Linked DNA regions of Struthio camelus. The protein of the gene in region 2 interacts with the protein of the main gene of each other region in a pairwise test. Links are inferred from orthologs where the notes say so. Each region holds a gene or a part of one and is shown on either strand. Other genes may lie near its edges. The genes, in order: ZMYND19, TOX4, FNDC3B and T-box-containing protein TBX6L.

Region 1 (7,268 bases), on a different chromosome or scaffold from region 2:
CATATTTTCTACAAAATTAAACTCAGGTCTCATCATGAAGAACATATCTAAAAGGAGCAGACTAACAGCTCATTAGATTAGTCAGGAATACTTACCTCTTACTACTGATTAAGTCAACCTCTGAATGTTAACTGGGAGCTACAAAGGATATCAAGCAATGATTCTTAGAATACAGAAAATAGGAAGTAGCAGCTGAGACAAAGTACCTTCAGCGCTGTTTCATGTAGCTTTCCAGAAGGCTGAACAAAAACCTCCAAAGTTTTAAGTTAGAGGTTCTATCTCTCCAGTGCTCTGCCAATTCTCACTGGTGCCAGTAAGTTATGTGCTTATCACAGGACAAACGGAACACAAAAGGTTAGTCTTCATCCATTAATTTAGATGGAACACCCCCGGGCACACAAGTTTTGGTAGCAATTCTCAGATTTCAACAGTGTCCGCACAAATTATACTCACCTATCACTGTTTTCCCTGGGAATAACATTTTTACAGAGACTCAACTGTTTAAATGACCAGTGCAAAACAAAACTATAATAAGATCTAATGGCACCCACTGTGCTGGGTTCCCAGATGAGTATAGCTGCAAGCCTCCTGAGAAGACTCAAAATACTACAAGCAGAGAAATAAACAACATACAAGTTGCAGGCAGCAAATTGCACCTTAGTGAACCCTTGAAGTTACCTACCAAAGTAGCTCATGTAGCAGGCGGCCAGACCCCCTTCCACGATTTTTGTCAAATGCATAAGCAAATATTTTAGCACCATTTCCATCAGCATCTACCTCCATCCGAGCCTAGAGAAAAGGGAAGACTGTGACTGAGGGCGCCCAACACAGAGTGGCAGAGCACATGCCTTTTGGGATATACAAAAGACCAACATTTACTATTTGGCTCCTACAGACGTAGGAAACCCACCATATAAGATATAGGTCACTTGATCTTAATGGAATTTCACTTGTCTGAAACCTCCAACAGAGAGAAAACAGCTCTGCTATTGTAGCTTATGAAGATGCAAGGCAAAAGGAAGAAAGAAGGCTTTGCACAGCAGGAGTTCCACTTGGACAAAGAACAACAACAATCCAGTTGTTAGCCTGTAGGGCCAGGATCCATTCTCTGCTCTGGCATAGATTTTATGTACAGCCATCAGCAAGTCACCAAGGCTTTGTTTCCAGTATTGCTTTACACCAATCTAATTAGGGGTTGCTAGTGAAAGGAGTGGTCCTGCCCTCTTTTCTCCACTCAGCTCCATAACCTTGTGCAGGCACTAACGCTCTTGCTGTTCCCTGGTACAGTTCACCGTGCAAGCTAGCATACTCTCCACCTCCCCTTAAAATATATATATAGTTTTCAGCCAGATGTTTTTCTCTGATCCAACCCCTGTGGAGTCACACAAGCAGTAGCGTAGCAGAAACACAGATGGGGGAAGAGCGAGTCCCCTCCTTTCAGGGGCAGCGTGGATTTTTGAGTGTTCTGAACCCCCTGTGAAATGAGACCAAGTCCTTGCATGTCCAGCTTCATTTCCCTCCTCTACCACACAAATGAATTACTACAGAGGAGGAAAGAGCAAATACGGTCTTTCTTGATTGGAGCATCACCACAGCACTTAGACACCTAACAGTAACTCTGCAGCACCCACTGTGCTAGGTGCTACGCAAAAAAACGGTCCCCACTCCAAAAACGTGTTAGTTATAGAAGATTTTGCAATGAAGAATTCTTTCTCTTTGTAAGTCTGTAAGGCAGAATCAGCTTACCCTCTTGAAGCATATCTTAAGAGAAAAGTTTTTTCGTTCCATATTAAGCTAACTAAGAGATGTTTTGCCAGTGCAAGACTATGTGCAAAGTGAAGTGTTTTTAAAGTTTTACAAACCAAATAAGGGGAGACAGATTGTGAAAGTTTTCAAAAAATATATACAAGCAGAAGGCTGAAAACAAAAGCTATATAACAAATTAATTTGTTTTAATGCTTGTTTACAAATGAAGGAACGGAACACTTCCCATTTGAAAGCGTTCACACTGTTGTTTCAATATTTTCAAACTTATTTTTTTCCCCCAAAGTAGGAAAGTTATTGCTCGCCAGCGTGATTCCACAAGCAGTTTTATTTAGGCATGTCAAAACAGGAAAAAAAAAACTCACTGACACATTGCAACTACTTCCACCCCCAGGAATACCGCGAACCGCTCTCGCAGCGGAGACCTCGGAGGAGCTGCTGGACCCAAGGGACAGAGCAAAGGGGTATCGCCACCCCCACAAGCTAACGGGGGAGAAAGCAGAGGCCTTGCTGATAGTCTGATCGCACGCACTGAAAAAAGGGAGCCGGTATCGCGATTTAGAGAGAAAAAAAAGAAAGAAAAATAAGAAAAAAAAAAAAGAAACAGCCCCTAAAACCAAGCCCTAAGACAGCATACGATGGGGGAGGGGAAAGGGGGGGCCGGGAACGGAGGGAGAGAAAGTCATGGGGCAGGAGGCGGGCACCGGGGAGGGGGGACCGGGGGCCTCTCCGCCTCACCTCGAAGGAGTAGCTCTCCACCAGCGGGATGTCCTGCTCGTCGATCAGCGTGTACTTGGTCTGAAACACAGAGCGCAGCGGCCGCCGTCAGCCCAGCGGGGCCCCCGCGGCGGCGGCGGCGGCACCGGCGCCCGCCGGGCAGCGCGACACCGGCCGCCGCTGCCCGCGCCTCCCGCCCCGGGGCCGGGCTCGGCGGGCACAGCGCGGCCGGGGGGTGTGGGGAGAAGAGGGGAGCCGCCCGCGCCCCCGCCGCCGCCCCGCGGGCAGCCGCTCCGCCCGGCGCGGCCCGCAGCGCCCGGCCGCGCCCCCCGCGCCCTCAGGCCCCGGCCGCCGCGCGCTCACCTTGCCGGCCACCCGGCCGAGCCGCACGATCCCCAGCTTGAAGTCGGTCATGGCCGGGCCGGGCCGGGCGCCGCCTGCGCTCGCCCCTCGGAGCCCGCGAGCGGGAGCGGAGCCGCCGCCGCCGCTGCCACGCGCCGCCGCCTCGCGCACACCCGGGCTGGGGAGGGGGGGAGGGGGCGGGGCAGCGCACCACCTCCCACCCGCCGCCGCCCGGCCAATGGCAACCCGCGCCCCTGGCGCGTCGCCCCTACTACGCCGCCGGCGCACCCAATCGCCGGGCGGCGCGCGCGCGGGGTCACGTGGGGGCGGGCGCGCGGCCCGGCGCGGCGCGCGCGGGCTCGCGCGCGGGCTCGGCCCCGAGGGGGCGGGGGAGGGAGGCGCGGGCGCTGACGTCACGTTCGCGGGAAGCTTTGTGCCGCCAACACGGGGAGAGCGCGAGCGGTGGGGGCTGGGCTTAAAGGGGCCGCTCGGGCGGGAGGGCCCCGCCCGGCCGGGGGAGGGTCTGGGGCGCCGGGCCGGGCCGGGCCGGGCCGGGCCGGGCCGGGCCGGGCCGAGGCGCGTTGCTGGGACCGTCCGGTGGCTCTGCCCGTGTTGGGCTTGGAAGCGTTCGGTGCTTCCCGTGGCCACGCGGCTACGAGGAAGGCGCTGGCGCCCGGGAAGGGCAGGGCCGGCTGGGGAGCCCCTCCGTGGTGGCGAAGGTCACCCCGGCTGGTGGCCTGAGGTGGCGGTGGGCTGCGCCGGCCGCTTCTGGGCCTTCGGAGGCGGCGGCTGGGCGGCCCTGCTCGGCTGAGACCTGCCGGAGAAGGTGGAGCAGGGCCGGGCGCCCGTGTCCCGGGAGCTGGATGCGGACCCTGCTGCGTTATAAAAGAGATTCACTCTGTGTTGGGATGTGCTGTAATTAATAAGCTGCGCCCTGCAGGCGGGACGCGGGGCCGGTCCTGCCCGGGCTGGGGAAAGAGCCGGATGATCTGCCTTGCTGCAAACGTACAGCTTCGGCGAGGATGTTCTCAGACGCCTTGTGCTGCCGCAGGGTTTGATCGGTGGCTCCGTCCGCCAAAACGACGCGCCGTGCTGGCGGGTGCGGGGTGGTGGGGCTCGTTTCCAGGTCTAGTCGTGACGAACGTCTAGATGAGGGCGAAGAGCTCGCTCCTCGTTTCACAAAAGTCAGGGGAACGGATTTGCAGAGCGTCCGCTGCCCAAGACTCTGCAGTCACAGCTAAGAGCACTGGAAACCACCTTGTTTCCTTGATTGACGTGTGGGCGTTTTCGGCAGCCTGCAGGAACGTTTGGAAGATGTCACGGTCGAAGAGGGGCTTCAAATTGCATATAAATGGATAAAGCAGCCAAGGAGGACGGATCGCTGTCCTTGCCCAATTACCTGGGAAATCACTAGGGCAGAATAGGACAACTGTGCCCCGAAGAACGTGAGCAGCAGGGAAAAGATGTGTTTAAAACGGTGAAAGGAGCATCTAAAGGAGACAGACGTTAAAATATTTAAAATCTAAAGAAGAAGCTTGGAAAACTTTCCTTAAAAACTTTCATTTCTGCGACGGAGCAATCCCATGGAGGAGACATAAACCCCAGCTGCTTCAGGCTCTCATGCCGGACCAGGGAAATTAGACACCGCGGTTTGGAGCAGCCCTTCAGCAGCCAGCAGACCCCGTGGGATCCAGGAAATGCCTAATTCTGCAGGTGCTGCTCCGTGCAGTTGGGGCACGAACCTGACCGCGTTCGTCAGGGCAGCTAGTCGGATAAGGAAACCTTCGTAAGCTGCTAAGCAAAAGTCTTTTTGGCTAATGAGAAAGTCAAGCAAATAGTTGAATCGGGAGCAGAGTATCTATGCAGTGAAAAGAATGCCTTGCTCTTGCAAGAGTCCTTGAGGGAGAAAGATAAATCAAACCTCCGAGAAAGGCAAAGTAGCTGGAAACGTGCAATAAATCCATTAATATACACCCAGGTTTATCAAGGGCATTGCTTCATTTTTGATGACTGTGGCTTTTGATGATTGTGGCCTGCTTTTTAAAAGAGAAAAACAGCAAAGAAGAGTGTATGATACTGCTGATGCCAGGAACAAGTTGTTCGGTGCGGGGGGACTTTGCTCGGGATGTGAAGGGCTTCGCTTCCCCATGGCACCTGCTCTTTTGCTTGGCCCTAGAAACACGCCAAATAAGAATCGGGTCGTTCCCAGCTGGGAAGGGACGGGGAGAAGAAGAGATTGTCCAGGCTAGAGAGAAAATCAGACTAACGCTGGCGGCAAATACCTGCCGGTGACAGGTGTTTGCATTTGCTTTGGGGTGGTCAATGGACTGCAGCCCCGAGATGCTGACGGTACCTGAAGCCTGGGTGCCTCGCCGAGGGCGGCCGGCGCCGGGAGCCCTGGAACGCGCCGGCCGTCACAAAGCGGTGCCGTGAGGTCGCCCCAGGCGAGGGGCTCCCACCGGCGGCCGGCACGTGCCGCGGAGCGGGGCCGCAATGGACTACCGCCAGAAAGTAACCAAGCACATGGCCAGCTACTACATGAACGGCTACCAGCACTGGAAGCCACCGTTCTTCTGCCAGCTTTTCCAGCACCGCTGGTAATTTTGGGCTGTGCGTGGGGATGCGAGGGGGGATGCTTTCCAGCAACGCCCGACTCCTGGAAACCCAAAACCGCCTGTGCATCAGGCGACAAAGAGCACGGACCAGGGAGCAGCCGCCTTGCCCAACTCCACATCTCACTTCCCACTCCCGGTGCGAGGGAGCTCCCAACCCGCCGCCAGAGCCGGGTGCTGCCATCCGCAGCGCGGCCGTGCCGTTCCCCTGGTCCCGTTCACCTGGGGGCGACGCAGCCCAGCCCGGGGCAGTTGCCTTTGACGTCGCCCAAGCTGTCCCTCGCCCTCCGATAGGAACCTGCTGCCCGTGACGGTTGTGCTCTGCCCGCGGCTGCGGCCGGAGCCCGAGGCTTCGACCTGCCGCGTCTGCCTGGATCGTGTGAAGCAGCTGAGCAAGAGGCACTGCCTGCTCCTCTGCGTGGAGGCCCGCAGCGGAGGTGAGTCATGGGTGCACGAGCCCGGCCAGCACCCCGGGCACCCTGCCACCTGATTCCCGGCTGGGGCTCCTGCCGGCCAGCAGCCTCCTCCTTTCTCGTAGGCCGGCGAAAGCTCACTTTGCCATCGCGACTTTCCTTCCCCTTCTGGCACCCTCTGCACCTCCCATGCCCGTCGCGCAGTCCCCTGCCCTTGGGGGACGTGGCAGAAGGGCACGACGTCCCTGAGGTCGCGGGCAGTGTGGGCGGCAGCAGGCGATGGATGGAGACCACCTCGCCTGCCACGTGGAGATCAGGGCATCTTCCCCCAGCACCGGGGTCTTCTGCTGGAGGCGGGCTTGGGTCAACCCCCCGTTCTCAGGGACAGACACAAAACCTGACGCTGCGGGTCGAGCGGCTGCAGTGTCCTCGCGATTGTCTCTGGCTCATGGGTGAGACAGAGCGGTCGGCACCGTCACAAGCAGCTGCTGCTTTAGGGCACCTGGCTGGCAAAGGCACGTTTCTGGTATTGGGAGCTGAGGGGAAGCTGGGCTCTGCTCCCAAACCACGTTAGCCAAAAGCTGCTCAGAAGAAGACAAGCCCCCATGCTGCAGAGCGGCCTGCGACACCAAGACACCGGCGGGGGTCTGGCAGGGCCAGGGGCCCCGCGCCTGCCCCGTATCGCTGCTCTGTGCCCTTCCTCCAGACCGCCGAGCCCCTGCGTGGAGCCAGCCGTCCCCCCGCGTTGATGGTGACAGCCCCGGGCCTGCTGCCGACCTCTCGCCCAGCACCTGGTGCCGTGAGGACACCGCTGCAGCCCAGAGCCGAGCAGGAGAGACCCTTCTGCCAGGTACGCGAGGTGTCCATCTCCCCCAGAACGGCCCCACGGTGCCAAAAGCAGCGATTTGCCCCGTTTGGAAGCAGCAGAGCTGTGAGGACGCTCCACTGCGAGCGGTTCGTACCCCGGTGTGCCGCTCGCAGGCTCAGCAAGGAGCGACGGGTCCTGCCCTCGCGTGAGCACCCTGCCAGCAGCTCCCACCCGCTGGGCAATGCTGGACGTGACCCTCCTTTCCCTTGTCTCTCCTTAAAGCGCACAGAGCTCCTGGGCCACCAGGGTGAAGGTCTCCCCTGGAAAGGGCTCCGTGTTTTGCAATTTTTCACTCTTTTCTTCTGAAGGTGCAGATCACGAAACCAGAAGAAAGCCCTGGCTTCAGAGCAAAAACCCATTCATCAGGAAGATAGATTTAAAGAGCAGAGTCAATGTAGGTTGTTACTATCTTTAAAAGCCCTTTGCCTCCTTTCTAAGAAGTCTAGATTGGAAAAAAAATGAATTGCTGGCAGGGTAGTACCCTCCTTCCAAGTACTATGCAGCTTAGAAGGTAGCGTGGGAAAGGTTATGCATCCCACCCCCAAGAGTATT
Region 2 (7,920 bases):
CCAAACGGAGCTGCTTCGGCTTATTTCCACTTTTAAAACAAAATAATAATGTGGGGGGGAAATGAAATAACAAGCGGAAAACAAGCTCAAAAAGCTTGTTTTTTTCTGGAAAATAAGCTCAAAAGTGCCTCCCCCCCCCCACCTTGGGCTCTTATTTTAATAAAAAGCTGTAAAATAGACGCCCGAAGGCGGCTAAACCCCTTAAAAGCCCGAAACGAGCCCCCAAAAGCTCATTTCCGCCCTCAACAAAGCATGTTTTCGTATTTAATAAAATATAAGGGAAAAAAGAGGTAAAAAAAATGATAAATTAGCACCCTGCCCCGCCAGCCGCTTTTTGGTGTTTTCCTAACTCGGGCGTCCCCGAAGCGGCTTTTCCCCGGCAAAACCGTTTCCCCGCAAATTCATGACGGGAGAGGGGGAAAAAAAACCCCAAAACCACCTTTTTGAAACTCAAGCAGCTGTTTGTTGGGGTTTTTTTTTTTAAGGAAAATGGGGGGAAAAACAAAAAAAAGCAAAAATCCTGCTGCTGCTGTAAGTTTTCATCTTTCCCTATAGCGGAAAAAGGAAATGCTTGAGGAAAATGAGGAAAAAGCCCTTTAAAATACTTCATGTTCCTGTTTATAAGGCAGAACAGGTGAACGTGAAACGTCTGCATTGTTTAACAGAAAAAAAAAAGTATATTTTGTGTATGTGTATAGATATATATATATATATATTTTTTTTTTTTTTTTTTTTGCTTTTCTGCACAATTGCTGTGTTTCTGTTTTTTGGGGCGAGGAGAAAGAAGGCGAAACCCTGCGATTTTGGCCAAAGCGCTTTATCCCGACCGCTCGTCCTCCCCTCCAGCGCCGCACGTCGCGCGAGTGAAAAGAGGAGGAGGAAAAAAAAAAAACCCAAAACAACCTGCCCCAGCTCCAAAACTGATGCTCGGCCGCGAGTAGTTTTCCTCACCGGAGCGAAAACGTGTCGGTGGAGGGGGAGGAAACGGGACCGAATCGGGTGGGAAAAAGGGGGGGAAACAGGATTGAATCTGGGGAAAATGAGGAAAACTGAGGAAACGGGCTCAAATCGGGAGGGAAAATGGGGGGGAAACGGGGAGGAAACCAGGATCGAGTCGGGTGGGAAATGGGGAAAATGGGGGGAAATGGGATTGAGTCGGGTGGGAAATGGGGAAAAGGGAGGAAACAGGATCAAATCAGGTGGGAAAATGGGGGGAAATGGGATCGAATTGGGTGGGAAATGGGGGAAACGGGGAGGAAAGGGATTGAATCAGGTGGGAAAACGGGATTGAATCAGATGGGAAATTGGGGGGGGAAATGGGATCGTTCGCGGGAAAGAGGCGACGAGGAGGTTCGGGGCGGGAAATTCCCGTGCCGAAAACATCGTGGTCGGGGCTGGGCCGGGGGATTTACGGAGGCGGCCGGCGTCGAACGACGCCGCGAGCGGTCACGGCGTTTAAAAAAAGAAAACTGAAAAATCAAAAAAAGAGAAAAAAAAAAAAAAAAAAAAAGCTCGTTTACAGGCAGCGGAGACGGCGCTGAAGCGGCAGCGGAGCCGCCCCGGCGAGAAACGCAGCTCGAAGCCGCCGTCTTTTTTCCTCTCCTTTTCCCTCCAACCCAAAACGAAGGGGGCGATTCGTTCAGCAGCAGCCGGAACCGTCTCCCGAGCCCGGAGCGCCGTGTCGGGCGGCGGAGGAAGGCGCCGTCCCCGCGGGTTGCTGGGGACCGATTTTGATGCCGTTGGCCTGGAAAAGGAGAATCGGGGAGAGAGGGGAGCGGGAGCCGCCGCTTCCCTCTGCCCCGCCGGCTCCGGGCGCTCACCTCGTTGCTCACGTCGAACAGGCCCTGCTGGATCTTGCCGTAGATCTCCTTGGCCGTGTCGATAAACGCCTGCCAACGAGAGGCAAAAAAAGGAGGGGGGAAAAAAAGGGGGAAAAAAAAGGAGGAAAAAACAAAAAAAAAAAAAAGAGGGAAAACCAGCTGCCCCCAGTGGCTCTGAGAGGGGATTTCCCACCGGCGAGCAGGAAAGCATAAAGAAATATATACGTATGTGTATTTATATAACCGCCGGCCCCCCCCCCCAAATAATCCCTTCACCTCTTCGACGTTGGCCGCCGTCTTAGCCGACGTCTCCATGAAAACCAGCCCGTGCTCCCGGGCGAAGGCTTCGCCCTCCTCCTTCCGCACGTCCCGCCGCGACTCCAGGTCGCTGCCGAGGCAGGAGACGGATTCGGCCGAGGGGCAGGACGCAAGAAAAGAAAGGGGGGGTGAGGTGGGTGAAAAAAACGAAAAAACAAAAAAACCTCCCTTCTTAGAGTCCGGGACGAGTCTCCGGACTCGCTCTTGTTGTTTTTATTTAACCTCTTGTTCCCGATCAGCATGATGACCATGTTGGAGCTGGAGTGTTGGCGGGCGTCTTCCAGCCAGGACGTCAAGTGGTTGAAGGTCTCGCGCCTGCGCGGGGGCCAAGAGCGATTCGGGGTGGGGGGCGGCGGAGGGGGGACGACGTCGAGGCCGACGCGAGCGCGGCCGGCGGCGATACCTGGTGATATCGTAAACCAGCAGCGCCCCGGCCGCTCCTCGGTAGTAGGAACGCGTGATCGAGCGGAAAGACTCCTGTCCAGCCTGGAAAAAGAGAGATATTTATATATATAGAGAGAGAGAGAGAGTTTTTTGTTTTTTTCTTTTTAAAAAAAAGGGATGGTCCCGATACGCTGCTGTTTTTTCTTTCTCCCCCGCGGCCTCACCGTATCCCAGATCTGCAGCTTGATCTGCTTGTTCTCGACGCTGATCATGCGCGCCCCGAACTCGACGCCTGCAAGAGAGGGCGCGGGGCTGCCGGACGCGGGCTCGGAGGAGCCGGGGGAAACGCGGGGCCGGGCTCCGCTCCGGCCGGGATCCTCACCGATGGTCAGGTCGTGGACGGGCTGGAAGCGCTTGTCGGTGAACTGCAGCAGCAGGCAGGACTTGCCGACGCCTGCGGGCGGACGGACGGACGGGCTCCGGCTCCCTCCGCGACTGCTGCCCTCGATCTCCCCCCAAAAATACCTCCCCCCTTGTTTTCTCCCCCCTCTCCTACATCCTGGCTGCTCCCCACACCCCCAGCTCCCTCCGGCCACCGGCCCCCTTTTGCCTCCCCCCTCAATCCCCCCCCCCAAATGACCCCTTTCTGCCCCCCTCAGGCTCTTCTGCCCCCCTAAAGCCCCTTCCTGCCCCCCCAGAGACCCCTCTTGTCCCCCCAGAGCCCCTTCCTCCCCCCAGACCCCTTTCCTGTCCCCCCAGACCCCTTTCCTGTCCCCCCAAAGCCCCCTCTTGTCCCCCCAGAGCCCCCTCTTGTCCCCCCAACCCCTTTCCTGTCCCCCAGAGCCCTTCATGCCCCCCTAAAGCCCCTTCCTCCTCCCTTAGACCCCTTCCTGCCCCTCCAAAGCCCCTTCCTGCCCCACTTCAGGCTCTTCTACCCCCCCCCGAAACCCATCCTGCCCCCTCAGACCCCCTTTCTGCACCCCCAGAGTCCCATCCTGCCCCCCCAAAGCCCCTTCCTTCCCCTCCAGACCCCTTCCTGCCTCCCCCAGAGCCTCTTCCTCCACCCCAGACCCCTTTCTGCCCCCACAGAGCCCCATCCTGCCCCCTCCAACCCCTTCCTGCCCCCCCAAAGCCCCCTTTTGCCCCCCAAATCCCCTTCCTGTGCTCCCTAGAGCCCCTTCCTGCCCCCCAGACCCCTTTCTGCCCCCCAGAGCCCCATCCTGCCTCCTTCAACCCTCTCCTGCCCCCCTAAAGCCCCTTTCTGTGCCCCCCAGAGCCCATTCCTGCCCCCCCAAAGCCCCTTCCTGTGCTCCCTAGAGCCCCTTTCTGCGCCTTCAAAGCCCCTTCCTTTCCTCCAGACCCATTCCTGCCCCCCTAGAACCTCTTCCTCCACCCCAGACCCCTTCCTGCCCCCCAAAGCCCCTTTTTGCCCCCCAAATCCCCTTCCTGTCCTCCCTCGAGCCCCATCCTGCCCCCCCAGAGCCCCTTTCTGTGCCTCCCAGAGCCCCATCCTGCCCCCTCAGACCCCTTTCTGCCCCCTCAAAGCCCCTTCCTTCCCCCCCAGACCCCTTCCTGTCCCCCAAAGCCCCTTTTTGCCCCCCAAAGTCCCTTCCTGTGCTCCCTAGAGCCTCTTCCTGCCCCCAGACCCCCTTTCTGTGCCCCCCCAGAGCCCCCTCCTGCCCCCTCAGACCCCCTCCTGCCCCCTCAGACCCCCTCCTGCCCCCTCAGAGCCCCTTCCTGTCCCCCCAAAGCCTCTTTTTGCCCCCCAAAGCCCCTCCTGTGCTCCCTAGAGCCTCTTCCTGCCCCCAGACCCTTTTCTGCCCCCCAGACCCCCTTTCTGTGCCCCCCAGAGCCCCATCCTGCCCCCCAGAGCCCCTTCCTGTGCTCCCTAGAGACCCTTCCTTCCCCCCTCAGACCCCTTTCTCCCCCCCACAGCCCCTTCCTGCCCCACTTCAGGCTCTCCTGCCCCCTCAGAGACCCTTCCTGCCCCCCGGCCCGGTACCGGTATCGCCGATGATGATGTATTTGAAGAGATACGCGTAAGACATGATGCCCGGAACCAGGTCCGCCCAGGGCCGCTCTGTCCTCGGAGGCCGGCCGCCTCTACTCCTCCGGCTTCCGGCGGCGCTCTGCCCGCCCCGGAGGCCGCCTCTACTCCTCCGGCTTCCGGCGGCGCTCTGCCCGCCCCGGCGGCCGCCTCTACTCCTCCGGCTTCCGGCGGCGCTCTGCCCGCCCCGGCGGCCGCCTCTACTCCTCCCGCTTCCGGCGGCGCTCTGCCCGCCCCGGCGGCCGCCTCTACTCCTCCCGCTTCCGGCGGCGCTCTGCCCGCCCCGGCGGCCGCCTCTACTCCTCCCGCTTCCGGCGGCGCTCTGCCCGCCCCGGCGGCCGCCTCTACTCCTCCCGCTTCCGGCGGCGCTCTGCCCGCCCCGGCGGCCGCCTCTACTCCTCCCGCTTCCGGCGGCGCTCTAGGCAGAACCTGGGCGCTCTGGGGCCGGGGGCCGCCGGCTCCACTGCTCCTACCCGGCCCTGCCAGCTCGGCAGGGCCAGAAAAGACCCAAACGCGACTTTTTTCCCCCTCCCACCCCGTCTCCTAGGGGGGCTCCCGCCGCCGGCGGGGGGGGGAGGGAGGGAGGGAGAGGCCGCCTCTATGACCCTCGCGCCGGAAGTGGAGTGACGCGGCGTGACGCGAGGGCGGGGAGGCGGGACTTCCGCTTCCGGGGTCGGGGGCCGGAGCGCGTCGCGGGGAGACTCTCGCTCGGCGGCGGCGGCGCCATGGAGGTGAGCGGGGCCCGGGACCGGGGGGGGGAGGTGTTGTCGTGGAGGTGGAGGCCCCGTGGGGAGAGCCGGGCACCGGGGGGGGGAGATGGGGGGGCGATGAGGGGAGTTAGGGGGTGCTGGGGGCTACTGGGGGGGATATGGGGGGAGTTAGGGGGAGATAGGGGGTGCTGGGGGCTGCTGGGGGGGAGATGGAGAGAGTTAGGGGGATATAGGGGGTGTTGGGGGCTGCTGGGGGGGAGATGGGGGGAGTTAGGGGGATATAGGGGGTGCTGGGGGCTGCTGGGGGGGAGATGGAGAGAGTTAGGGGGATATAGGGGGTGTTGGGGGCTGCTGGGGGGGATATGGGGGGAGTTAGGGGGATATAGGGGGTGTTGGGGGCTGCTGGGGGGGATATGGGGGGAGTTGGGATATAGGGGGTGCTGGGGGCTGCTGGGGGGGATATGGGGGGAGTTGGGATATAGGGGGTGCTGGGGGGAGATGGAGGGAGTTAGGGGAGATAGGGGGTGCTGGGGGCTGCTGGGGGGGGAGATGGAGGTGTTGGGGGGCGATGGGGGGAGTTGGGGGGAGTTGGGGGCTACTGGGGGGGAGATGGGGGTAGTTAGGGGAGATAGGGGGTGCTGGGGGGTGCTGGGGGGGAGATGGAGGGTGTTGGGGGGAGTTGGGGGATATGGGGGGAGTTAGGGGGTGCTGGGGGCTACTGGGGGGATATGGGGGGAGTTAGGGGTATATAGGGGGTGCTGGGGGCTGCTGGGGGGGAGATGGAGGGTGTTGGGGGGCGATGGGGGGAGTTGGGGGGTGTTGGGGGTTACTAGGGGGATATGGGGGTGAGTTGGGGGGTGTTGGGGGCTGCTGGGGGGGATATGGGGGGAGTTAGGGGGATATAGGGGGTGTTGGGGGCTGCTGGGGGGGAGATGGAGGGTGTTGGGGGGCGATGGGGGGAGTTGGGGGGTGTTGGGGGCTATTAGGGGGGATATGGGGGGAGTTAGGGTAGATAGGGGGTGCTGGGGGGGAGATGGAGGGTGTTGGGGGGTGGGGGGGGAGTTGGGGGTGCTGGGGGCTACTGGGGGGGATATGGGGGGAGTTAGGGGAGATAGGAGGTGCTGGGGGCTTCTTGGGGGGATATGGGGGGATATAGGGGTATATAGGGGGTACTGGGGACTGCTGGGGAGGAGATGGGGGGAGATGGGGGTGCTGGGGGCTATTGGGGGGCGATGGGGGCTGCTGGGGGGTGATGGGGGAGATGGGGTGCTGGGGGCTGTTGGGGGGTGATGGGGGGAGTTGGTGTTGGGGGCTACTGGGGAGAGCTGGGGGAGCTGGGTGGTGTTGGGGCAGATGGTGGGACATAGGGGTGCTGGGGGTTACTGGGGGGTGCTGGGGGGGAGATGGGGGGTGTTGGGATCTATTAGGGGGTGCTGGGGGCACACTGGGGCGGAACTGGGAGCTATTGGGGGCACTGGGAGGGTGCTGGGGGCTGCTGGGGGCACTGGGAGGGTGCTGGGGGCTGTTAGGAGGGTGCTGGAGGCTATTGGGAGGTGCATGGGGCACTGGGAGGGTGCTGGGGGCTATTGGGGGGGTTTGGGGGGCACTGGGAGGGTTCTGGGGGGTGCTGGGGGCACTGGGAGGGTGCTGGGGGCTGTTGGGAGGTGTTGGGGGCACTGGGAGGGTGCTGGGGGCTATTGGGGGGGTTTGGGGGACACTGGGAGGGTGCTGGGGGGTGCTGGGGGCACTGGGAGGGTGCTGGGGGCTGTTGGGAGGTGTTGGGGGCACTGGGAGGGTGCTGGGAGCTGTTAGGGGGGTTTGGGGGACACTGGGAGGGTGCTGGGGGCTGTTAGGGGGGTTTGGGGGACAGTGGGAGGGTTCTGGGGGGTGCTGGGAGCACTGGGAGGGTGCTGGGGGCTGTTGGGAGGTGCTGGGGGCACTGGGAGGGTGCTGGGAGCTGTTAGGGGGGTTTGGGGGGCACTGGGAGGGTGCTGGGGGCTGTTAGGGGGGCTTGGGGGACACTGGGAGGGTTCTGGGGGGTGCTGGGAGCACTGGGAGGGTGCTGGGGGCTGTTAGGGGGGCTTGGGGGGCACTGGGAGGGTGCTGGGGGCTGTTGGGAGGTGTTGGGGGCACTGGGAGGGTGCTGGGGGCTGTTAGGGGGGTTTGGGGGACAGTGGGAGGGTTCTGGGGGTATTGGGGAGCGCTGGGAGGGTGCTGGGGGCTACTGGGAGCGCCGGGGAGGTGCCGGCGGCCCGTTGCTGTCCTCAGCCGCCTCCGTTTCTCTCCCTCCCGGCCGGCCGGGCGCCGCGCAGTTCCCCGGCGGCAACGACAACTACCTGGCCATCACCGGCACGGCTCACCCCTTCCTGACGGGGGCCGAGGTGAGGCGGCGGCGGGGGGGGGGGGCCGGTCGGCGGAGGAAACGGGGCGGTGGGGCAGCCCCACCTTCCTCCTCCTCCTCCTCCTCCTCGCCGCGCAGACCTTCCACACGCCCAGCCTGGGCGACGAGGAGTTCGAGATCCCCCCCATCGCCCTGGACGCCGACCCCTCGCTGGCCGTCTCCGACGTGGTGGGCCACTTCGACGACCTGGGCGACCCCGGCAGCGCCGCCGACGCCGGTTTCTCCGCCCAGTACGGCGTG
Region 3 (6,985 bases), on a different chromosome or scaffold from region 2:
ATAAGGAGGAGGGAGGAGAGGATCCATTTTGCTCTGGATGTTTTCTTAAGGGGATCATTCGTTCTTTTAATTTGTGCAGCCTGCCCTTTCCACCTCACACCACCCTTCCCGTAGCAGAGGAAGATCTGACTGAAGGAATTCAGCGATCCCCATTCTCAGCCTGGTCAGAGAGTTTGCTGTGGGGTCGCGTAAGATGTTTCTCACCGAGGCTGAGTATGTCTTTTTTCCTCAGTCCAAGTTGCTGCTGGCCCTGAGAGCAAGAATCTGAACCCAGAGCTCTTACACTGTAAATGTAACACATTAGACACTGAATCCAGAGCCAGTCCACCCAGCAGCTGCTCAGAACCTTAATAACACATGGAGAGAAAACTCCTGTGGCCACAGGCCACGCAGTGTTTGAACAGAACCACTCAGTGTACATGCCAGCGCTATGCGGTATTAAAAATGACTGAGGGCAGTACACCCCAGGTAAAAAAAAGCAGTATTCTGCAAATAAAGCAATCAAAGCATTCTCTGTACACTGTTAAACAGAACTGATGCCAAGATCTCAGCCTACTTGCCCTCCAGAATACAGAACATGCAGCTTATTGAAATAGTAAAAGTCTAACTCAAAACCCATTAGAAACCTGAGGGAGAGTATCTTATGAGAATAAAAACTGTCTTCACAGCCTTTATAATGATGTCTGATCTGAGATGTCACATCCCAATTGTATGGACAGAGTTTCCATAGACCCCTCTCTGGAATTTTTCGCCAAATGGGACGAGATGGCTGAAGGGAATGACGACAGAATACAGAATTTAGAATAATTGGTTTGGATCCAGCCCTAGTCAACAGTGCCTAAATTGTTACTGTTTGATGGCTAAATAATTCCTATTTGAAAGAAATTAGTGGTTTCAGTCTGATCCCAGTAGATCCGTATCTTGGGAATGACTGTCCTTGGTACATAATTCCAATAGTAAGGCCAAAGACGGAGGCAGAATGATCCCTTCATCCTGCTCTTCTGCAACAAGGACACAAGGGAAGGGAGGTAAGAGAGACCTGCGCTATTGCATTTCTGACACAACTTGCTTCATGAATAAACAGAAAGATGCACTACGAAAAACAAAAAATGTGTATCTATCTTATCGAAAGCTCAGACTCACAAAAACACAAACTCATCGAAACAGCAAAGTTAAGTTCATGACTCTAGTCTATACTCATTTGGGTATTTTGGGTTGGTCATTTTCCTCAAAGTAATTTACACATCCCTGCTGTGTTGCTGCTTAAACTAGTTCTTACCCCTTTTGGGGCAGAAGACATTTCCTCTTGGTCTGATTAATGCTCTTCCTTGATCAGCTGCCTCAGGCAGTAAGCCATTGAACAACTAGTTTTATCTGTTATTTATGTAGGGATTTTTTGAGGAAAAGCAGTCCTTGCTTCATTCTCCTCCATCCCTTTCCTTGTTTTTTAGAACCTGTCCAGTTTCCACTGAACCACTTCACAATTGCTGTTAATTATATCTGGCCCCTGAGTTTGTCAGCACAGAGCGGCTGAACAAAAACGGTTCTAAATGAAGAGTACGAGTTTTTTTCAGAACTCTTTTTTTCTATCTCTAGGATAGCTTTGCTGTGTTTTATGTGAATCTGGCCAATTTTATGGTTTCAGGTGAGACGGATATCCACATGGAAATCAAGTAACTGGGCACGTTTGTTCTCAAAGTTGTCAAATGTGGTTGTTGAGGATGAGTGTCTCTGAATTCTGCTCCAGCAGTGAAACCAAACTGAAGTAAGTGTGAACTGTAAAAACTTTACATGGCTACAGAGAAATTTAAAATACCCACTCATAACGACGGCAGAGGACATTGCTCTACTTCTGTAGGGGATGGGACAGCATACCAAACGCCCCTATGCCCAGAGTCTCTGCTTTGTTTCTTAAAATGAGAACATACTTGGATCTAGCATTTTTGTTCTGGCCCACCTGATAGGAAAGCAACAAATCTGCCTAGTGGTTTTATTTCCTTCCTCTCCTTTATTTATTTTCATTATCTCTCCTTTAGGTTTGATATTGTTTACTCTTCAGTTTAAATGTTGTCTTTTTATAATTTTCTGATTTGCATTAGTGTTTTTTCCTTTCAACACTCTTCACTACCTTCCTCTTTCCCTTTTCTCTATCCTTTCCTTCACAAAACAGTCTACAGGATCAAGTAAAGGCTTTACCACCCTAGTGAATAATTAATCTCATCTGACTGCAACTCAATCCAGGATCATCAAAAAGCCTGCGTGTTTTGGGTCACTAATAAAGCAAAACATTTTTCTGCTTTTAGATTTTATTCATTACAAAAGTTTTTGCAATTAACGATGAACAATACTTAGTGCTGGCTGATCATTTTACGCTGAAAAATCTTTCCCATGGGAAAATGCTAATTTGTTATTTTCATAGGAATTATCTATTTCAGATAACTTTATTTTCATTTTTCTGTGTTTTGGACACTTAAAGAATAGCTTAGTTGGGCAAAATGTTTTGATTTTTACCAAACTTCTATGCCAAACTAATGTTTTTCAGTGTGAGTTTCAACAGCAAATGAAAAATCGAGAAGCCCTACAGGAAAAATGTTTTTGTGGATGTCTTAATGGAAGTTAATGAAAATATACCTGAACTGTATAAGACTCTAGAGATATAGTTTTCTAGCTTCTGAAAGGAAACCTTGCTCTTATGAAGTAAATCAACTACTGAAAAAACCTTTACGAAAAATAAGATTGAAGAAAATAGATAGTGTCTAAGAGAACATGGAGCAGAAGACATGCCAGTGATGAGATGTTATTGAAGAAGGGTAGATAGCCAAAGGACTGAGGCCAAATAAAAAGATCCCTCATAATATGCTTGCAATTTGTAGTGTGCGTGAGGCAGAGTCCTATTTTAAGCTTTTCCTATAGCCAGATTAAAGCTCTAGTTGTGATTCCCACCTTGCTTAGATGCTGCGCTGAGAGGTAAATTACCAGTGTGGTTCCTCATGGCTCTACTCCAGAGCAAAAGGATAAATCTTTCTTCTTTTTGTCTCCAACAATTTAAGTATGTCAGACTACTCCTTAATCTCTGAAAATACGTGCCTAAAGGTTCTTCTCCTTACTTCCAAACTCACAGAAAGATAGAAAAGACCACACTGAGTCAGACCAAAGGTTCTTCTTCTGCAATACCTTGTCTCTTACAGCAACCAACAGCAGATGCCTCAGCAAGAAAATACAAAAGGGCACACAGAGTATACATAAGAGCCCGGCCTTAAGCTATTTGGATGAGGGCCTCCCTGTTTCAGCAGCGCTGTTTCTCCAACAGGGAGATCCTGTGGGGGTATTTCTCTACTGTCACAACTGCAGAAGGCTCTAACTGCAGGAAGCAGGCTTGGGGGTTACCCAAACTCTGACGTTCGAGGGGTGACCCAAATATCCGCAAATGAATAACGATGCAGACATTTTCTGGTGTGCATGCCGTATAAAAACATCCGATAGACGGGATGAGAGGCAGATGGGCGATGCGCACCGGGTAGGTCAAAGGACACGGGGCTCCTCGGCAGTCTGCATCTGGTTAATTGAGGTTACGCAGGACACCATCTCTCCTCTGCGGGATTCAGAGCAGGACGGGGCACCTGGAAGGGGACGGGGACAGGCACCAGGGCTGCCGCTGGCGGCCACGGAAACAACACGGCAGAGGTGGGAGAAGGGGTGGGTTGGGAGGGAGGACGGGGGCGCTGGGGGGGGGGGCAGAAGGAAGGGGCGAGGTGGGAACTCGGGGAGGATGCTGAAGCGAGGCCAGAAAGCAGAGGTGGGAAATGGAGGGGGGGGGGGGAGGGAGCTCGCCCCCGTGTTGGGGGGGCAGAGGCAGCCACGGCCCCACCCCGCCGCCCGCCTCGGTGCCCCCGCGGCCGTTGGGAAGGAGGGGCGGGGCGGGGCGGCCCCAACGGCCGCCGCGGGGCGGGGCGGGGCGGGGCGGCTCCTCAGCGCGCGCCGCGGCCGTTGGGAAAGGGGCGGGGGGGCAGGAGGGCCCGCGCGCCGCCCGCCCCAGCCTGTTTTTTTTTTTTTTTTTTTTTTTCCTCCCCCCTCCTCCCCTCCCTCCCTCCCTCCCCTCTTTTTCCGCGGGAGCCGCTACTCCAGAGTGCGCGGTAGCGTGGGCCGGCCGCGAGGGCCCATGTGGTGCCGACATCACTGACATGGCGGAATCCCCAGTAAGCCCGCCTGGCCGCCGCTCCAGCTAGCCGCCACTCGCCCGCCGCGCCCCGGGCTCGCCTCTCCGCCCTGCCGCTCCGCTCTGCTCCGCGCCGCCCGCCCAGGTAAGGACGCCTCGCCCGGGGCGCCCCGCTCCGCGGGCGGGGAGGGAGGGGAGATAGGAGCCCCCCAGCCCCGCCGACCCTTTTGTTCGGGGCGGGCGGCGGCGGTTGGCGGAAAGTTTCTGCTTGCGCCGCGCTGCCCCGGGCCGCGGGTGCGCCCCCTGCGCAACCCGCTCAGGGGCGGCGGCGCCGGCAGCGGGAGCCCGCGGAGGTTTCGCCTCGAGGGGGCTGCGGGCAGGGGCCGGGCAGGGGGTAGAGCAGGGCGGCCGCCGGTGCCCGGGGCAGCTGCGGCGCTTCCTGTCAGCGCCGCGGCCCGCGCAGCCTCCGCCACTGGCCGCCGGCGTGCCCTGCCCCTCGGCCGCTGTCTGGTGCGAGGGCCGCGCGGTTGCGATACGAGGCGGAGGGGGGAAACGCGGCTTCACGGCTGGGAAGAGGTTTGTGCTTTTATGCTTCCCCCCCCCGCTTCCTCCTCCGCGAAATGCGCTGATGCGCGCTACCAGGTGATAGTGTGTATGTGTGAAAAAGGCGGCGAGGTGGCGGGAGGGGAAGGAAGCGGTTTCCCTGTCCTCGCTTTGCCTCCAGAAGGAGCCGCGGGTGCGGAGCCTGCGCCCCGCTGCCCGGCCGCGGGCTGCCGCGCAGGTGGAGCCGCCGGAGGCTCCTGCTCGCCGCGCCGCCGGCTGCCGGGGGCGCCGTGGAGAGGGAGCTCCGGCGGCGCCGCCTCGTCCCCCCTTCCCCGTCCGCTTCCTTGGCCGGGACCGCTTCGCGAAGGAAAATCCTGGAAACTTTTTATTTTGCTTGCCAGACGCCTTTTTCTTTTTAATGGCATGCTACCAGGAGACAGAATGGAGAGAGAGAGGGGGGATAAAAAAGGAAAATTCTTTTAAAGGATTAACCTCTCTTAGGTTAACACTACATCTGCAGCCCTCCCTTCTTCTCCCCCCCCCCCCAAGTTCTCAGAAATGTTCTATTTAAATAAGGTTTTGGCTAAGGTAATGCGGCTTGGAATTTAATGCAATACACCCTTTATCCCATCTATATTTGTGGAATAAGGTGGGGGTGGAGGGGAGAACCCGAGCTTCTCTCACGGTGCTAATAATTTTGTGTTTCATTTGCATTTCTTTGTCTGAGTACCTAAAAGTAATTGCTTGCTTGCTTAAAGTAATAGTTACTCCTTCACAGTCGGGAAACTGAGATATAGGAAAATTTCTTTCTTTTTTTTTTTTTTGAGGGGAACTCTGTGCGTTTTTTCTTTAAGAACAGAATTCAGATTTCCCAGTTCCCTGTACCCTAGGCACGTTTGCTGTAACCCCTAACAATTTACCCCGCAGTGCCTAGGGCTGAACAGAAGTAACTAATAAATTTCCAAAAAGTGTTAAACCTGTCTAGCTTGAGCTTAACAATGTGCAAGGTAATAGGAATTCAAACATGCCCATGTTTAAGCCTAAATCACTGTTTCCCAACCTTTTTTTGCAGCTGAGCTTGCTTAAAAAAGGTTGGAATTTCCAGGTCTTGCAGAACGTCTTGGTGCTTGTGCTTGTTTGGCAGAATAAGCCGGGGCTCTGCGCCTCTGTTAGGGAACCATGCTGGTCTGGGCATGGACACAATGTGTGTTTGGCTGGAAACCCTTCTAGACAGACGGAATGCATCGTTTCATAAATCTCAGGATTCAGAGATGGGCTGTTTCCTCCTATTAAGAGCATCTTGCTTATCTCACCCAGTCCTTTTGTACCACCTGTATGTCATTATCAGCAGTAAGAGAATATGCTACTGGTGCTACCAATAAGAAAACAGTTCTTGGCTGCGTTCCTGGGGTCACTTAGGGTCTTGCACAGAAGCAGTCTCTTAGTGCTCTTCTCATAATCTTCAGTGCTTTGTGGTTCCTTCTCATTAGTTTTAAAGCAGTTGTGCTTTGTGGTTATACCAGGACTGTGCTGTGGCAGAAGGATCTACTTGCACAGAAGTGTCATATATTGTTTTTCCCAGTTTAGTATCTTGAAGCTTGTTTGTGGTCATAATGTAGCTCAGGGGTGAGTGTGCGAGGAAGTTTTAAAAAAAAAAGATTTTTTTTTTTTCCCCCCACACACCATCAGGATTCATCTGATTTGGGTTCAAGGTCACTGCTGGGAGAGCAGTGAGGGTTGTTTTTTTTTTTTTTTTTTTTTTAACCTACTGTTATCTTATATATGGCCAAAGTATAAGAAATGAATAAATTTAGCATCCAAAATAAGCTGGTATTCTGTTATAGCTGAGAAGTTTGGACTTGTAAGTTAATACTGCAAGCAGTTTATCTTTACTCTCAGCTAAGTCTGTAACTTCCAATTGGAAGTGCATTTGTTCTGGCACTTGTCTTCTATGTATTGTGTTTGGTGGACCTAAAGAAGATTCTTGCACGCTACCTTTCTTAGCATAGAATTTTCTCTTTTCTTTTCACTTTATAGATTCTACTAAGTGCTCTCTCTCCTTAGAGAGCTCCTCTCCTGAGGAGCAGTAAGGGGAAACGTCTACAATGCATAATTTGAGCAAAAAAATACATGTAAGTCGTACAGCAAAGTTATGCATGTGTGATTGTATTCATGAGCTTTCTAATTAGTTTAATTGGCTTTTCCTTCAAAAATGTAGGTCATCAGTCTGAACACTAACACACACAGTTTACAGTACAATTAACTGTTTGTAGTGTGAAGATCTTA
Region 4 (7,094 bases), on a different chromosome or scaffold from region 2:
AAAAGCCTCATAAAATGAAGCAGCCTTATTTGTTGCATTACATAGTGGCGAGCGTTACAGAATGCAAAGATAAGATGATTGGATCTGAAACAACAAGTGGATGTTTGCAGTAACCTTCTAATGACATGTAAATGGGCCAAGGCTATGCTGTCATTTGCCCTGCTAAGCACAGACAGGCTGGGTTTCTGCTGTCCAATAAGATTTTTAAAAATTATGACCAGTTTCCAGTTGTCACTGTAGAATCTTGAGGTGCTTTCTTCTTCTGTTTCTGAGCCTTAATTAAAACGAGGCTTGAAAAAAGGCCTTTTGAGCCAGCCATATGCTTAACAATCAACTGTTCCCTCTCCTTTGACATCTGAAATCATAGATAGCCTCCTAACATGTTTTTTTTTTTTCTTATTTATTTTCTCTTTAGCCTCCAGTTCCAAGCCTGAACTCAGCTCCAGCTCACAGACTTTGGGAAGTCAGCAGAGCAAGACAGATGGCACCCGTGTAAAAACTCGCATTCTGCCCAACATGCCAAAGCTTTTCATACCTTCATCTGTCACCAAATTTCCACCTGAGATCACTGTCACTCCACCCACTCCCACCCTCCTTTCTCCAAAGGGCAGCATTTCAGAAGAGACCAAGCAAAAATTAAAGGTAATAAAAGGGAAACACTAATTTTTTTTTTTTAGATGATTGTTTTTATCTTAATTCTCCCCTGAATAAAATTCCTATGTGAGAGGAGCAACCATTCCTGTCCCCAGTTTGTAACCAGGGGTTGCAGAAGTAATTGAAGGAGATGCTAGCTGTTATCAGCAGGAGTCAGTTTTTAAGGACTAGTGAAATTTTGGACATGAGTGAAATCACAGCTATCCCAGCCCCTTGTCTCGGAGGGAATTAGAAGGAATTACAAAAACGGGTGAGGGAGTTAGTGTAGCCCTTGCAATTCTTATGTTAGTGGAAGGTACTCAAATTTTAACTGTGGGGAAGCCTATTGGTAAATGCTATGTTGTTTCACATTAGGATGTCATAAATTTATAGAAATAAGAGGACGTAGGAATGTGAAGGACTAGCAGCCAGTTGGTTTTTATCCCTGTGATCATGGGTTTATCCTGTCTATTTAGCAATATATTCTCTCTCTCTCTTTTTGGGATCAGTCTGCTATTTTGTCTGCTCAGTCTGCAGCGAATGTAAAGAAGGAGAGCCTTTGTCAGCCAGCTTTGGAAATCTTAGAGACCTCAAGCCAGGAGTCCTCACTGGAAAGTGATACTGATGAAGATGATGACTACATGGACATATGAATGAATTCTGGCCATCATCAACACCAACCATGTAACCATTCTTCTTGTTGCCGGCATCTCTGGCAGGCGAAACATCTTCGCTGGCATTATTCTCCATTTAATCTACATCATTGTGTTCCTCACTTCCATTACCTTTGTTACCACCACTACTGCTTGTATTGCCTTCAAAATCTTCGCCATTCTCCCCATCATGGTGCTCGACAGAAAGAATGATTGTTTACCAGGCAGTTACTTCATTTGGACCACATTGTCACCTTTAACTTCAGCAAACACGAGAATGTTTTGAGCTGCAACTCGCATCTCTACTGTTCCTGCTTCAAACCAGAGCCTTGGGAGCCAGTCCAGCGGCTCTTTTCTATAGCATTTTTCTACCTTTTAGTTGTCTTTCATTTTCCCCACAGGTTAAATTTTCCTCCCAATAATTTTGCAGCCTAATCTCTGTCTAGCCATACCATGATTAGACCAACAACTCCATTTAAGGTGAATGGAGCAGGAGAAGTTTGCTGAACTAGTCGAATTTTCAGTGGCATCAGGGAAGTCTATGGCTTCAGTTTGGGGCGAGAAGAATGAGCTGAAAGTCTGTTGGCTCCACGGCACAGCTGGATGCCTTGTTAAGAGCTGACTAGGTGGACAGAAGGCAAAGAAGCAGGTTTTCCAGGCAGACAGAGGTTGGCCTCCTGTTTGTGCTCATTTCACTCATATGTATGAGGTCCAGCAAAAATTATCTACCTGAATGTTGGCTTAAAGAACTGATCTTTCCAGAATTGTCTTACAGTCCTTTCTCTTCTAATGCCTTGGACAAGCATTTTGAATTGGGGGCTAGATGATATTTTTATGGCGGTATTGAAAAAAAATTTAAGATTTCAGTACCATTTCAGTAACGTCTGTTTTTTACAGAATGACACGAAAAGGTGTTTTTTTAACTATCTGCAGAGGGACTGCTCACAGTTATTTATATGAGAAAATAATGGTAAAAAAAATCATTTTTTTTTTCTACTGAATGTTAACTTTGTAAAATAATAAATGCAAACCGTGCAAAAAAAATCCATGTCACGCTATATAGATATATATAGATATATATATACACACACAAACATGCGTACACACACACACACACACACACACACACACACACACACACACACACACAAACTTATATATATGATAAAAGAAAATGCATACAGCTTGCCATGTTGGATTTCTTTGTGTTACGGGGGAAGGTGGTTTTCTGTGAAATGCAGAGCTTTGTATAAACTTTTGGTTTTTGTTTTTGTTTTTTCTAATAAAGTCAAAATGTACTTACTGTTGTCTCTGTTGGTTGGAGAGGTCAAGATGCCATGGTTCTGGAGAACATACCACTCCTCCCTTCCTTTTATTTCCTGGGTAAGAGGGTTCTGGAGGAGGGGAAAAAAAACTTCCTTTCCTAAAGACCACCAGAACTCTTGGGATGGCTTTGGTCTTATGTGACCCAGAGCCTGGTCAGCCAGTGCTGCCAAGCATGCGTGCCCCCAGTTCAGTATCCCCATTGAGACCCGAATGGTCCCTGAATAAAAAGAAGCAGCATCAAACTTTGTCTTGCAAGTTCATTCTTGTACTCTGTGTTGTTCATTTTGAACAAAATGTAATTTCTGAGCAGGTGAACACACCCATTGTGGGCGTATTAGCAATTGTTCGTGTAACTTGTTTGCCTACTGCAAGTGATGGATGAGCAGCTTGCAAGTGGCATGTGGAGAAGATCAGGATGAGAGGTAAAAGCAAATGTATATTTTCAATAGTAAAATGTTTTCAATTGGTGTAAGTTATTATAAATACAGTGTGTAGCATATTCTATAGGCATTGCCTGGTAAGAAGCTCAGATAGCTCTGGAAAATAAAAGGAATGATCTGTATTTTTAGAAGATAGCACAGGAAAAACAAAGAGGAAATCGGCTTGTAATGAGAAATGGAACACACAAAGTGAACTGCAGGGCCAAACATTCTTGGAGGATATACTTTTAATTAGTGCTCTTTCTCTTAAGTAGAGTAGACTATATAGGCTTTTTGGCTAATATATATTCTGAAATGTATGGCTGACTTTAAGATCAATTATGAATTCTTGGGCCCACAATCTAGCATAGGGCTGATGTACGCGGACTCAGCATTTGACTTGATTTTTTGGGGACCATTTTTAGTGTAGTCTTCAGGCAAAAACATTTCAAATCTTCAGTAAAGTTAATCTAGGTCTCTCATTTTTCAAAAAAAGACTATTTCTTAATTGAATTTGGTCATTGAAAATGGTTGTTTTCCTTTATTCTTCTTGAGGTTTCCTATAAACTAGGTGTTTTGAATTATTTTTTCCTCCAGTGCTTGCTAAAATGTCTGATCTGGATCTTTCTTTGGCTCCCAGCCTTCCTTTTTTGAGAAGGCTTTGTTTTGTTTTTTATTGCTGAAGGAAAATTACCACAATGATTAAAACTGTTCCTATGAGCAAAGTGAGCTGAACATTGTTGTTCTGCTCTAAACTCATTTAAATCTTCAAACTACAAAACTGTGTAACTTGTTTTATCTGATTTTCAAAAGTCTTAACTGTTTTTCTTACTTTTTATCTGTGATCTTTCATTCCTATTATGCTCTCAGGTGGCTCAAGGACTTTTTTCCTCAAGGTCAAAAGGGTACTGAGACCGATGGGGTTACGTGGGCCGCCGCCTTCGAATCCTGCACTTCTGCTAACGGCCAAATACTGCGCTGCTCAACTGTGGACCATCTTCCATAATGGGTGTTACTGCTGATTTATGCCAAAGGACCCATTTTTCTTCTATATGTATGAAATCCTCTCTCTGTAAGTACAGTTTATGTAGTAGTTCAATTCAGGGAACCGTGTCCTGGGGAGAGGATGCCAAGATCTCTGGCTACGTTTTTGTGTGCTGTTTGTCTGAAGCACCATCCCTAAAGGTTCTTGAAGCGGGAACTTCAAATCCTGTGCAAACAGAAGTATTCACTTAATAGGGTGTCTTCTGAAGCCTGATGATAAAATTTGATGGAATTTTCAAGAAAAAAGTCTTTTGGTAAAACTGAATTAGCTATGATTTTACTTGAAGCGATGTCTTTGAGTTTATCTTAATCATAGTCATAATAGCTTGATCTCAGTATAGGCAAGGTCAAAATGATCAACTCCCCTGTTTCATAGTTGCATATCAAATATAAATAAAGTATTTGGTCTTTAGGGTTTGCTGGGTCACCGTTGCTTCTGAAATCTTTACGTTCCCAGATTTCTTTGTAATATTATGCCAGACAAATAAATGGCAGCTACTGAAGTATACTGCTGCTCTGTATATATTATTTTGTTGGGTTTCTTTTCCCTGTGAAGCTATAGAGAGAGAAGTATCTGGTGCCTAAAGTGAATTTGCATGTACAGACAAAAATGTATTAAAACATAGTATTATATACTATCCTTACTGCTGTAACATCGGAAGAGCTTTAAACATGAAACCTTGTTTGCCAAATAAAAGATCCAACTCAAATGCCGCTCAATCCAACTCAGATTGCCAAATAAAAGATCCAACTCAAATGTCATTTTTCTACAGAATAATCAGAGCTAGAAAACCCAGCAGAAGATTTGAATTTATTGTTTCTATGTAGTTAGAAGCTATTTTGGATATAAACAGATGAGCACAGCAAAGGCAGTTTTCTTGTTAACCTCTTTCTGCATCTCTCCCTTGTACCTTCTGTTGTGTTTGCAATGATTTTGTGTGTCCCCCAATGAAGTGACCAGCTTTTCTCAGGCCAGTCCAGAATTTAAAACTTCGGTTCACCCTGAAGCCCAAGTAGGGGCCGGGAAGGTGTCTATTTCTCCTTTCCTTTTTTGCCCCTTTCGGCCAGTAATTGATTTAAAAAGCAAATCATTTTTGGCTACCTTAATCACTATTCTTAAGGTAGATAGTACTGGGATTTAATTGTGTTGAGTGCAGTTTCTTTTCCTGGCACAAGGATTCTACAATCTCTGTGTAATTGAGGCCATCGAGAGTTCAGATCTCTGAGGCAAGGGCTAGGGTTTTACTAAGAATTTTTCTGTTAGGCACAGCTGTTATTAGTGGCTTCTTCCTGCTGTCTCAGAAATGCTGTTCCTCCAAAACTAATAACTTTTTATTCCACATTACATGTCTTCCTTAATTTTATCAAGTACTAGAGTTTGTCAGTTGTTGTTTCTTGTTTTTTTATGTTTTAATTAGAACAAGATTGCCTCATGAATAATGAAATTAATGTCTCTTCCAGCCAAAATAAACACCATATGGTCAGGGAGAAAAGGGACCAGGAGAAGATGAGTAAAGCATGGCAGCAGAAGCCGATTAGGAGACAAAATAGACTGAATGGAAACGGAGGAGCCAGGTGAGAATAGACTTAAGTTTTGTAAATCACAAAGCTGTAACTCACTATGGTGAGATCATACAGTTAAATTCAACGTTCTGGTTTTGGCAGTGGTGATGATATTTCTAGGAAGCTGAAAAATTCATGATGGACATAGCTGGTGTGTACAGTGTTACAGGGCCTAACTCGTTTCTGTTCTTGGAGGTGCTTGCCGTATTTTTTTTAAGGAACAACGTGGTAAAGTGAATGAGTTGGGATGTTTAGAAGAAAAAGTAGCAAGCATAAGTCTTATGAGCTGTTACTTAGAGCTGGGATATAGGAGCTTTGTTCTTGCAGCTGAAGGTGATGGCAAGAAGTTCAGGGTAGATGTTGAGTGCTAATTGCCATGTTTCCCTTTCTTTTGACTGATTACTAGGAATCCACTAGCGCTAAGCTTCAAGGTATGCATCAGTATTTTAGGAGTAATCTGGGGGTATATTCTCTAGAAAATACTGAAGTTATGTTTTTTCAGCTCCTGCTTGCTTTTCCTGTTCCTTTATATTGTTCTCTCTGTCATTATCCATGCTGCTTTTACTTACTCGGCTCTGTAACTCTTCCACCAACCTATTTTCTGCAGCTGAGGTTCCCACTCTGCCTTCATCTGGCTGTTTCATTGGTATACTTAGATACTGTCCCAACCTAGGTGGTGTTCCAGTTTAGGCAAGAGAGTTTTAAAAGCTTAATGAGCAGCTTCTTAGGAAACCTAATAGGCTTCATTTTCTCAAGTCTTACAAAAAAAGCAGGCAGATAACTTAAATCTGTTAGGACTAAAACCAGAAGTTTTAAGCCTGATGACATTAAGGATGTTGGTAACAAGTGGATCGTGGTGGTCATCTTAGTGCAGTTTTTATCCCTTCAAAATGTCCTGCACTGCATTCACATATGCACAAGCCTCCAGCACACAGTAAGCTGATGTTCATCACTAAGTCCTCGTGCACCTGGGCAGTTGTGCATGAGCGCCAGAACCACGACCCAGCACACCATAGATATCCCATTTCGTTTTTCTCTTGCGCAAACTTGTACACAGCCTTTTTACCTTAATCCCTTTTCTTCTGCTGTCCTGTAGTAACATTGTGACCAGCACTGTCAGAGTCTGGTCAGCCGTGTTTTCTGAAATCATTGCTATCCGCGACAGAAATAGCATCCAAAGGGAAGGGAAGTTCCTCCAAGTGAAGCAGCAACTTGACTGGCGCAGCGCAACCAGCCCCACTTAAAGCTGTGACAGTAATGCACTTGTGCGTGGTGGTTTCAGTACAAGCACCCAAAATTAGACCTGTGTATTGCCATTTTTGAGCATCTAGCTTTGCTTTGGCATAATTTTTTTTATCCTATTTGATTTCTCTACCCCCTATTCGGATGGTAGAGTATGCAGGTTTCAAGGTTACTGATCGGTTTGCAGCAGTGAACCATGACAGTATATCTTGAG

Evidence for each region.
Region 1: the proteins of TOX4 (region 2) and ZMYND19 interact in binary tests that used the Homo sapiens proteins (3 or more experiments, as listed by UniProt). The two-hybrid records come from large-scale screens. The link is inferred for Struthio camelus from reciprocal best matches to the Homo sapiens genes TOX4 and ZMYND19.
Region 3: the proteins of TOX4 (region 2) and FNDC3B interact in binary tests that used the Homo sapiens proteins (3 or more experiments, as listed by UniProt). The two-hybrid records come from large-scale screens. The link is inferred for Struthio camelus from reciprocal best matches to the Homo sapiens genes TOX4 and FNDC3B.
Region 4: the proteins of TOX4 (region 2) and T-box-containing protein TBX6L interact in binary tests that used the Homo sapiens proteins (3 or more experiments, as listed by UniProt). The link is inferred for Struthio camelus from reciprocal best matches to the Homo sapiens genes TOX4 and TBX6.

What each region holds. Positions count from the first base shown.
Region 1 is NC_090961.1:12,062,828-12,070,095, forward strand, and holds the start of ZMYND19 (zinc finger MYND domain-containing protein 19), read right to left. Parts: upstream 3,004-7,268; 5' UTR 2,896-3,003; coding exon 2,845-2,895; intron 2,563-2,844; coding exon 2,503-2,562; intron 790-2,502; coding exon 683-789; intron 1-682. UniProt on the Homo sapiens protein: May be involved as a regulatory molecule in GPR24/MCH-R1 signaling.
Region 2 is NC_090970.1:69,208-77,127, forward strand, and holds the start of TOX4 (TOX high mobility group box family member 4), read left to right. Parts: upstream 1-4,908; 5' UTR 4,909-5,294; coding exon 5,295-5,300; intron 5,301-7,591; coding exon 7,592-7,660; intron 7,661-7,758; coding exon 7,759-7,920. Other genes in the region: RAB2B (ras-related protein Rab-2B), read right to left, coding at 1,293-2,208, 2,361-2,453, 2,542-2,624, 2,747-2,814, 2,905-2,976, 4,525-4,570. UniProt on the Homo sapiens protein: Transcription factor that modulates cell fate reprogramming from the somatic state to the pluripotent and neuronal fate. In liver, controls the expression of hormone-regulated gluconeogenic genes such as G6PC1 and PCK1.
Region 3 is NC_090950.1:27,368,727-27,375,711, reverse strand, and holds the start of FNDC3B (fibronectin type III domain-containing protein 3B), read left to right. Parts: upstream 1-3,968; 5' UTR 3,969-4,301; intron 4,302-4,557; exon of another isoform or gene 4,558-4,732; intron 4,733-6,985. UniProt on the Homo sapiens protein: May be a positive regulator of adipogenesis.
Region 4 is NC_090958.1:9,243,956-9,251,049, reverse strand, and holds the start of T-box-containing protein TBX6L, read left to right. Parts: upstream 1-4,086; 5' UTR 4,087-4,103; intron 4,104-5,536; 5' UTR 5,537-5,650; intron 5,651-7,094. Other genes in the region: CABIN1 (calcineurin-binding protein cabin-1), read left to right, coding at 416-642, 1,143-1,286. UniProt on the Homo sapiens protein: T-box transcription factor that plays an essential role in the determination of the fate of axial stem cells: neural vs mesodermal. Acts in part by down-regulating, a specific enhancer (N1) of SOX2, to inhibit neural development.